Nothobranchius furzeri: one gene and its partner. The protein of the gene in region 1 interacts with the protein of each later gene in a biochemical or structural test. Links are inferred from orthologs where the notes say so. Each region holds a gene or a part of one and is shown on either strand. Other genes may lie near its edges. The genes, in order: gnao1b and rgs4.

Evidence for each region.
Region 2: the proteins of gnao1b (region 1) and rgs4 form a complex in vitro, tested with the Homo sapiens proteins (2 studies listed by BioGRID). The link is inferred for Nothobranchius furzeri from reciprocal best matches to the Homo sapiens genes GNAO1 and RGS4.

What each region holds. Positions count from the first base shown.
Region 1 is NC_091749.1:60,165,745-60,170,265, reverse strand, and holds the start of gnao1b (guanine nucleotide binding protein (G protein), alpha activating activity polypeptide O, b), read right to left. Parts: upstream 3,090-4,521; 5' UTR 2,940-3,089; coding exon 2,822-2,939; intron 2,707-2,821; coding exon 2,664-2,706; intron 729-2,663; coding exon 587-728; intron 377-586; coding exon 216-376; intron 117-215; coding exon 1-116. UniProt on the Homo sapiens protein: Guanine nucleotide-binding proteins (G proteins) function as transducers downstream of G protein-coupled receptors (GPCRs) in numerous signaling cascades.
Region 2 is NC_091748.1:75,874,651-75,879,101, reverse strand, and holds the start of rgs4 (regulator of G-protein signaling 4), read left to right. Parts: upstream 1-1,439; 5' UTR 1,440-1,553; coding exon 1,554-1,597; intron 1,598-1,787; coding exon 1,788-1,892; intron 1,893-3,239; coding exon 3,240-3,304; intron 3,305-4,451. UniProt on the Homo sapiens protein: Inhibits signal transduction by increasing the GTPase activity of G protein alpha subunits thereby driving them into their inactive GDP-bound form. Activity on G(z)-alpha is inhibited by phosphorylation of the G-protein.

The DNA of each region.
Region 1 (4,521 bases):
TTTTGAAGGTAAAGTGGGTTTCAACGATGCCAGTTGTCTTCACTCGGGTCCTCAGGATGTCCTGCTCTGTAGGCTGATAGTCCAGGGCTCCGATTCGGTCTAGACTGTCCAGGTAGCTGTCGAAAACAGGAAGTAGGGTTGATAAACGCTCTGGATTAGTGGCACAATGTTATTTCTGAGCAGAGGCTTTTAGGAGGTGTTTTTGCTGTACTCACTATTGAGCAGAGTCATTAAGCTGGTATTCTCGGGCACGGTTGAAGCACTCCTGAGTCCCGGCGTCGGCCCATAAACGCTTCATAGCAGCGAGAAGCTCTGCGGAGTACGGCTCCGTGTCCTCCATACGACTGACGACATCACAGACCAGCTTGGCATCGGCCTGGATGAAACATGTTTCATAAGTTCAGAGGAGCAGAAGAAAAAATGTCTGCTTGTTAATTATTTACCAGCAGCTCAAACGACTTTCTGGGATGATTTGCAGTCATTTCTTTACTGTCACAGGTCAAATATTCCCAGAAAATGTTTTTTTATCTTTAGGAAAAGCAAAGCTAATCTTTAGAAAACTTGGTAGGATATGAGTGAGACTAACTTTCCGGTCCTTGTCTCCAAACTCAATCCCGAGGGAATCCATGGCTCGGAGGATGGCTGCCAAGCTCTGGATGGTGTTGCTGTAGACCACTGGCTTATACTGCTTCACATCATCCCCAGAAAAGCCATCTTCATGGATAATCCTGCATGCGTACGGAGATATTATCAAAGCCTGGACCGAGCAGGAAAAAAGTTGCAAATGTCCATATGTTCCTGCGTTACAAAACAGCTATCTTGTTACAATAAAAGCCCCAGGTTTTTATGAAACTCAGTAGGCCTGCGTGTGTGTGTGTGTGTGTGTGTGTGTAGTGATTATTTTATTATGTTTGTTCTCATCCTCTCCCCATGTTTCTCTCATCTAAGCATGAGCCTAACGGGAAATGGTCATATTCTCTCTCTGCGATGTGTAACCGGGCAGTAATGTGATATTTCAGTCATTTATAATTCATGAACTGAAATCAATCAGACCACTGATCAATCACGGCTCCACAACTCTGGACTGTTAAACTTCTTACAGCATTAAAGCATCCATCAGCGGCACATCTTCACCCTGACCAGATCTATAAAACATCCTCCAGAAGCCCACTCCCACAGCTACTTCATTCTCACCGCCGTACAGCAAGGAGGGGTGGGGTTAAAAGAAAAGATGTGGGATGATTGTTTTCATCTCATCAGGGCACATTATGAAAAGATGTTTCACAGCCGACTACAGCCACCTGGCCTGAATCTCCAGCACCATCATCACAATTAACAGTTTTATGAAATACAATAAATTGACCCTCAGGGGAGGGGGGGTGGGGATGAGCTGAGGCTGAAGCTTTATGGAGCAAACAGATGAATATTATCAACTTGAACATTTGGAAAGACTAAATGCTAATAATAATAATAATTATTATTATTATTATTATTATTATTATTGTTGTTGTTATTGGTTTTAAAGAATAACTTATCAGCAGTAGTTAAAAAATAAACCGCTGATGTTTCTACAGCAGCCTACTTGAGTAATTATTAAAATCTACAACGCCCTTTAAATTGTTCTTGAAGTCAACTCGTCCCTGTTAGTTTGGACATGACTCCACCGTCTCGCTCATGGGCCAAACCAGAGAAGCTCGTCTGGATGTGAAGATGATGGTGATGAGGATGAGGCAAAGAATCACAGCAAAGCCCAGTGCATGAACCCTCCGATACCTAGACTTTATGACCCAGAGCATGTAGTAAAACCCATCCATCTGCTGCTGGCCCGTGGCTAAAGCAAGCCCGGAGAGTATTTGTAAACACTATTTGGACCAGCATCTTGGTTCGGAGCAGAGCAGTAAGTTATGGACAACCAGGGAGCTCTGGGAGGGTAATGAAGAGGAAAAAGGGAGGGTGCAGTGAGTCGATGCAGAGTGCAGAGCAGAGCAGGAAGGAGGAGACACTCAGATGCTGCTCACAAAAGAGCTGCTGCATGGTTGACGGGACAAAATGTGAAAGAGCTCTGGTTTTTTGTGCAGAAACATCTAGAAACTTGACTAAGAGGTTTACATGAAACAAAAGCAGTCGTTTAAAACACCAAAGAGTCATTTAGCTCAGACACGAAAAGGTTTAGATGCGGTTTTAGGAGCCATATTTCTGCGTAAATCCGCTTTATAGGCAAAGTACTCCCGGCGATATCAGGCACTTAAAGCCATTAAGATTAAAAGCAGAGGTATTCACTAATGGAACAGCAGTGACCTCACTGTAATTCACACACGCACGCGCGCACACACACTGCACACACACACACACAGACACAGACACACACACGTCCCCAGTGGCACACTCCCCGTAGTCAAGCAAAACCTTCGTTAACTACATTTCAGCACCCCGGCAGTGAACAGCACCCTGGGACGCACCGGCGGCCTCCGCAGCCCTGCTGACGGTCTGCAGGAGGTGCTCGAGTCACCGGTGCTCCTCCGGGGCTTCGGCCTCTCGGAAACATGGCGGCTCAACCTGCCTTAGTGCTGACAGGGGAGGCGCAATCTCAGGCCTTTCACTCCGGCTGAGTTGGAGAATACCGATATGATATAAATAAATAAACAAATCAGGCTGACACTTACTTCATTTGTTTGACGATGGTACTTTTCCCGGATTCTCCGCCGCCTGCAAAGAACGGAGGGCAGAGAGAGAGCAGGCATTGAAATCAGTACCACGGAGAGCACCTCCGCCCCACGCAGTCCCAGCAGCAGCCCCGCGGCCGCGCCGCCGCTTCCCTTACCGAGCAGGAGCAGTTTGACGTCCTTGGCGGCGACCAGCCCGTCCTCCTTCAGGTTCTTCTCGATGGCCTTGCTCCGGTCCAGAGCTGCGCGCTCCTCGGCGCTCAGTGTACACCCCATGTTTCCAGGCGAATGAGCGGTCCCGTCGAGTCCCCAGTCCGCCCTGTCCCTCTCCTGCTCTCGGTCGCCGCGGTGTCTCTCAGTCTCGCTCTCCTCCCGCGCTGTCTGCTACAGCATAGGCCCGGATTCGGAGCGGAAAATAGAGCCGGGATCCCGAAACAGTCTTCTCTCCGTGAATGTGCACTCTCCGTTCCGTCCCCTCTCTCAGAGGGGGGTGGGGGGGTGGGGTCGCTGTGCGCTAGCCTGCAGGGTTGGGGTTGTTGTTAGGCGGGGAGAGCGGGGGGGTCTCGAGCTCTATCTCTCTACAGGGCGGCGCTGGTGATGATGACAGAGAGCACGAGCGATTTCACCGTATACTTTCACGAAGGCTGGCAGGAGGTGGTATGGCAGGCTGTTACCGCATATAATCAACAACGTTTTACATGTCTCCTGTTCAGAAATAGGTCGATTTAAATTACATTTTTGAAAATTCTGATTTAAGGTGGGTTGGTGTGTAATCGGTCACATGGCATCGTATCGAATTTAAAATATATTGCGAGCTTAAAAGAGTTTTAATCATAAGATGGATATGTAAGGCATCGATTGTTCAATTATTTTAGCGGAAATATACATTGCAAGTTTCTAAAAAGGCCGTTTTTATGCTCAGTGAAAATCTGACATATGTCAGTCATTCCTTCTTAAATTATTGAACGCTTCCCACTAGTGTTGTGGGCTTTCTTTTATACACAGATCTAGGCTACATGGTAAAACAATACGAAAACACATTTTATTTAACATTTCTGCTAAAAATTCCAATTCACACGTTTTATACAAACGGTAAGTCAAATATTCCTACCGCTAAAATTAGCTAAATTTGGTCATTTTGCATCAGAAACATTAAGGAAATAAAATTTTCAACAAAAATGCTTCCTAAAAAAACTTTGTCCAAATGTAAAAAAAATATCAAACTTACATTATAAATGAGAAATCATTACAATAGTTTTAATCGCACACACAAGAATTAACTATTTTGAGTTCACGTTTCTATGATACATTTGCTTCCCACACAGGGATGGCCGCGCGAGACTCACCTAACAATCTGGTTTACGTCAGAGCTGTCAAGCTCTAATCACGTCCGGTGAAAGATTTAAATGGAAAAGACTCCTAAATGGCAAATGTTACCCTCCTGCCTGGTGTTACTGGTGTGTTCTTGTAATGAATTAAAATGTCCCAACTTGGCCACCGTCGCTCTTATTCTTGTTCTCCAGGACCTGGGTGACGTTTAATCATGTCAACAACATTAAGTAGGTCTGAAAAACACCCGGTGGTGGTCACGGAACACCAGGTGAACATTTAATTACGTCAAAAATATAGCACGTTAACCGGGTTAAATGCGTTAAAATACTCATTAGTGAATTTATTTTTACAGATTTTAAAGGTGAATAGCAAATTCTACACAAGGTGGGTGAGAAACTAAAAATAGATTATTGATCACCTGATGCTTGTGCGAAATAACAGCACTTCACTATAAATTATGATCTTTTAAATTAAAAATTAATTTCACTGCTTAACAGTTTTTCATGGAAATCAAATATAATTTATG
Region 2 (4,451 bases), on another chromosome or scaffold:
GAGAAAGGTTAAATACAAAAAAAACGAAATAAAACACACTATCTTGGACCGATACATGACAGGATACAACAGAACAGCGCTACGCCCTCTGTTGTCCTGCCGGGGAATTGCTTGGCTACACTCCCCAGGAGACAGAGAAGTATTAGAGCAAAACGCTTCCGTCAATCCATGCGTGTCTGTTCCTTGCGGAGCTGACGGAGAAGCATGAATCAGGCTTTAGAGTTGGACTTTCCCTCAGACCCCAGCCATTACTATTCCTCTAACCCGAACACTTCTTTAATACATTTGCAGTGGTCTCTAGGAATGCACGGTAAGTCGTTCTCTGGGAGAAAAAAAGCTCCGGTGCACCTGTTTGAGGATGTGGAGTTCAGCTGACAGAAAAAGTAGCTTCAGATGACAGGATTTGGAGTTTAGTCTTCTGAGATTTGGACATCTCTCCTCTGATTGGCTAACAGCAGCATAACTGTACCACTGACTCTGTTTGCTCTGCAACGCTGATGTTTCGTCTCCACAAGTAACACAAGCCTGGAGGACTTCCGCTGTGTGGTGGAGCTGCTAATGCTAACGGTTAGCTTCTACTAGCAGGGACGTTCTCTGCTGTTTCCTGGACGCTAAACCAACAGCAGCCTTCCCCGTCGAGAGTCAAGATGGGTGAGTCCATGAATGTTAAGTGACAGTGTGACGTAGATCTGTCGGGATTTTCTAATCCTAGAGTTTCACCGTCTGTCTTCTATCAGAAGCTAAAGCAACAGGCAGATGTAGGAGACTATTTTCATGTTAAAGTCTGCAGGAAAACTCAGAGCGATCCATTAGAATCAGAAACTGAAACCAGAACGTTTGCGTGACATTCGTGTGAGATTTGCCATTGTCTTTGTGTAACTGACGTTTTACCGTTTTGTTGTGGTTCCGCTCCTCTCCCCCGTCTCTGGCGCCTGGCCGCTTCTCTCTCCCTGCTATCAGCTGATATAAATGTGATTTCTGGACCAGGAAGCTCTTTTAAACTTCTCAAACCTTTGAATAAAACTCATCACCCAAACGTGGAATCAGGAAGTGTGAAACTCAAACACAGAGAAGGTGCTAATGACAAGTTCAACCCTGGAGAACTCCCACTGCTGTTCGCTCAGCCATCGAGGAAAACGCACGACAACGCTGCACGAAAAACCAGATGTTGGTGCAGATGCTGGGATTAAACTTGCTACCACATGACAGAGCTTTCTGTTGTCCTCCACACATGGTGGACTTCACAAGTTCCTCAAACGCCTGGACCACCTGAGTCAGAGGAAAACAGCTTTTGTTTAGGTTAAAGACAACCCCGTCTGCTGCATGTTTCCCCATATCCTCCCTCACTCTCTCCCCTCTCTTCCTGCCTCTCTCCCCCGTCTTTTGTGATTGGCCGGTTTGGTCTCCCCTGCGTTTTGCTGATGTAAATCTCTGCTGGGGAGGGGTGGAGATATGTGCAGCCTGCTTCTGATACTGAAGGACGCTGCTATAAAAACTCGGCTGCTCTTTGCTGACAAAAACCAGAGGCGGCTTTGGATTTTTAAGACTCCAACATGTGCAAAGGGCTTGCTACACTTCCTGCGACGTGCTTGAAAAGGTAAGCCTCTAGCAGTCTGAGCAACAGGTGGACACGGGTGATCAGAAGAGAAATAAACAAATCGTGTTTTCACATTTAGTCGGTGATCGTGCCCTAAATGGAAGATGTTAATTAGGAATTAATTGGCGTAAAGTAGATTTATTTAGTTGCAAACAAACTTTCAGCTTGTAAAAAACTGCTTTTCCAACAGCGCAAAGGACATCAAGCACAAAATAAGCTTCTTGCTGCAGAAGCCAGAGCCTCAAGCAGCCGATCAGAAAGAGATCAAGGAGAAAAGCGTCGCTGCTGCAAAGAGGTGAGAACACTCATTCATCTCTGAGTGGTGTATACTGAAACTCTAATTTCCCTCTGGGATTAATAAAGTATCTTTGATTTGAGTTGATCTTTGTTCAGATTCACACTTTCATCTCTGCGGTAAACGATCTGTCATTAAATCGGAGTTTTCTGGAAGATTTTCATGGATAAATATCCACGAAGGGGATGTGTTGGTTTTAGGTTCTGAACACTGGGCTAAATGACGTCATTGGATTCATTTTATTCTGGGTTAAACTGATTTCTTTATTTGGTTTTAAATGTTATTACAATAAAACAAGGTAAATGCTTTCTATAAAACCTTAAATTGAAACACCTGTAGACTTATTTATCTGAGCTGAAGCTTAAAACTGGACCGTTGGTGAAGATGAATCATTAAACATGGGATTTTTGACCCAATCGGACTTTTTTTTTCTCCATCTTAGAGAAAAATGAAGAGAACATCAGGAGTCTTCCTGCGTTAGATGGACTCAGACGTCCTTTCCACTGAGTGAAAAATCAATGATTTCCTGCCTAAGAGCACTCTGTGTCTCTCTCACTCGTGTAATTGTTTTGTGCCAACTGATTATTATGATTATTGGCTGCAGACTTAAATTTAAAGGTAGTATCTTTGCGGAGGAGCAGGTTTTGTTTGGACTCGGATCCGCCCACAGGTCGTGTTCCCACAGGAAGCCAGTCCTCTATGAGAAGGTGATGGCACTGACCTTCAACACTCAGATTAGGTATAATTCATCCGGCCACCGCCACAGCTGATCGATACCCTGCTCATGCTGTCATGTATGCATATACAGACGAGCGTTTTCATGTGACGGCTGTCGGGGAATCTTTAAGGAAGTTTCATTAACGTTTTAAAGGTCGGATGACACACACCGATGTAATCAGAGATGTCAACACCGATCAGAGAGACGGTGCAGGCGGGTTCAGGCTTTTTCCACCGTGTTTTTAGCTGCTTTTATGTTGGTTTGCAGGGAAAAAATCCCCGTCATGTGAAAATCTCCATATCAGAGAACGCTTCGTGCAGGAATTACATTCTGCAAAAGATTAGAACATTTAAATTAGCAACAGAATGTGAAGGTTTTACACAAAAAAGTACATTTTTCACATAACCCTCCCACTGTCTTTACGGGTGACCCCGTGAGGAAAGTTGACCATCGAGCAGGATTGATGGTTTATCCCTTGAGGTCCACGTGGTGGGCTCACTCCTCACCCCTGCCACGTGGACCCAAGGGATAAACCATCAACCCTGCTCAGTGGCACACTTTCCTGGCGGGGTCACACCCATTGGTACAGTGGGAGGGTTTAAAAAAAGCATCTTTTCCGTTTGCTTTAGGGTTCCTGATGCAGCTGAGGTGGAGAAATGGAAGGAATCTTTCAGCCACGTGATGAGCAGTGACGGTAAGTGAGATGTTTTTTCAGCTAAAGGTTTCAGTCTGGCTCAGACCGCAGGGGTTTTGTCTGATCTTAATTAGAACGTCACCGACTCATCAGTTCGCAGAAATGCAGAAGGTCTCTGCGGGTTTATAATAGTGGGAAAGATTAATCTTCTCACGTGATGTTGGGATCCTGCAGTCCTGGGAGGCTGTTCAACTCTGATAGACCTTGTTTATGTTTACAGTAGCTAATAAAGTTTATAATATCAACAGTGGTGCTCTCCCGTTCATATTTTGAAGGTGTAGCCCTTAAAACAATGTTAGTTCTCAGTGAGCCGCATCCTCGCCCCGCTGCGATGAGGAAACTTGGGGTTTTGTTATCAGAGGGAAGTGGGGGAGGCTTGGATATGGCGCACAAACATGCAAATTGAGCACAAACACACTCAGACACTCCTCAGCTAATTTCTCATGCTCCAGTTTGTAGCTACGTGTCACGCGGCACAGCGGAGAGAACCCTCAGGGTGCTCTGACCAGTGCAGAGTCACTGGTGTCTGTGTGCTTCTGCTCCAACTCCTCTGAGAATCTCTTGAGTGTGTCGATTAAAGCCGTGGAGCAACGGCCTTGCGGGAACGACCCGCTGCGTTCCATGACCTCCTCCGCTGACCTCCAGCATCGTCATTTCTTCCTTCTGCCTGGGTCCGTCAGCCTCCATCGCTCCAATCTCCTGTTGTTTACCGTTCTGTGACCTGAACTGTTTCCACAATCTATCATCTTAGTCACGCTGGACTTTGGAGCGTGCTCTGTTTTGTTTTATACCACTTCTGTCGAGGCTCGGCCCTGGTTCGTTCTCTATCCACGACGAGCCTCTGAATGCAGCTGAATTAACACAGAAGCAAACAATCACGTTATTTAAAAATGCTTTGGACTCCTTTGTCTTCCAGTCGGAGCCGATTCAAAATTTAAAATGATTTGAGATTTGAATGGCATCAGAATTAGTAGCTTTTATGGAAAATATGAAATCATATTTTTGAACTTAATTCATTCAACCAAGTCTTCCATTTTTGGGTATTTTTAATATTTGAAGCATTATTTACTATGTCAGACATTTATTTCCTTTCCTGAGCATCAGCCTTCAGTTCTTGGCCCTTTAACCCTTAGTCGGTACAGCTAAA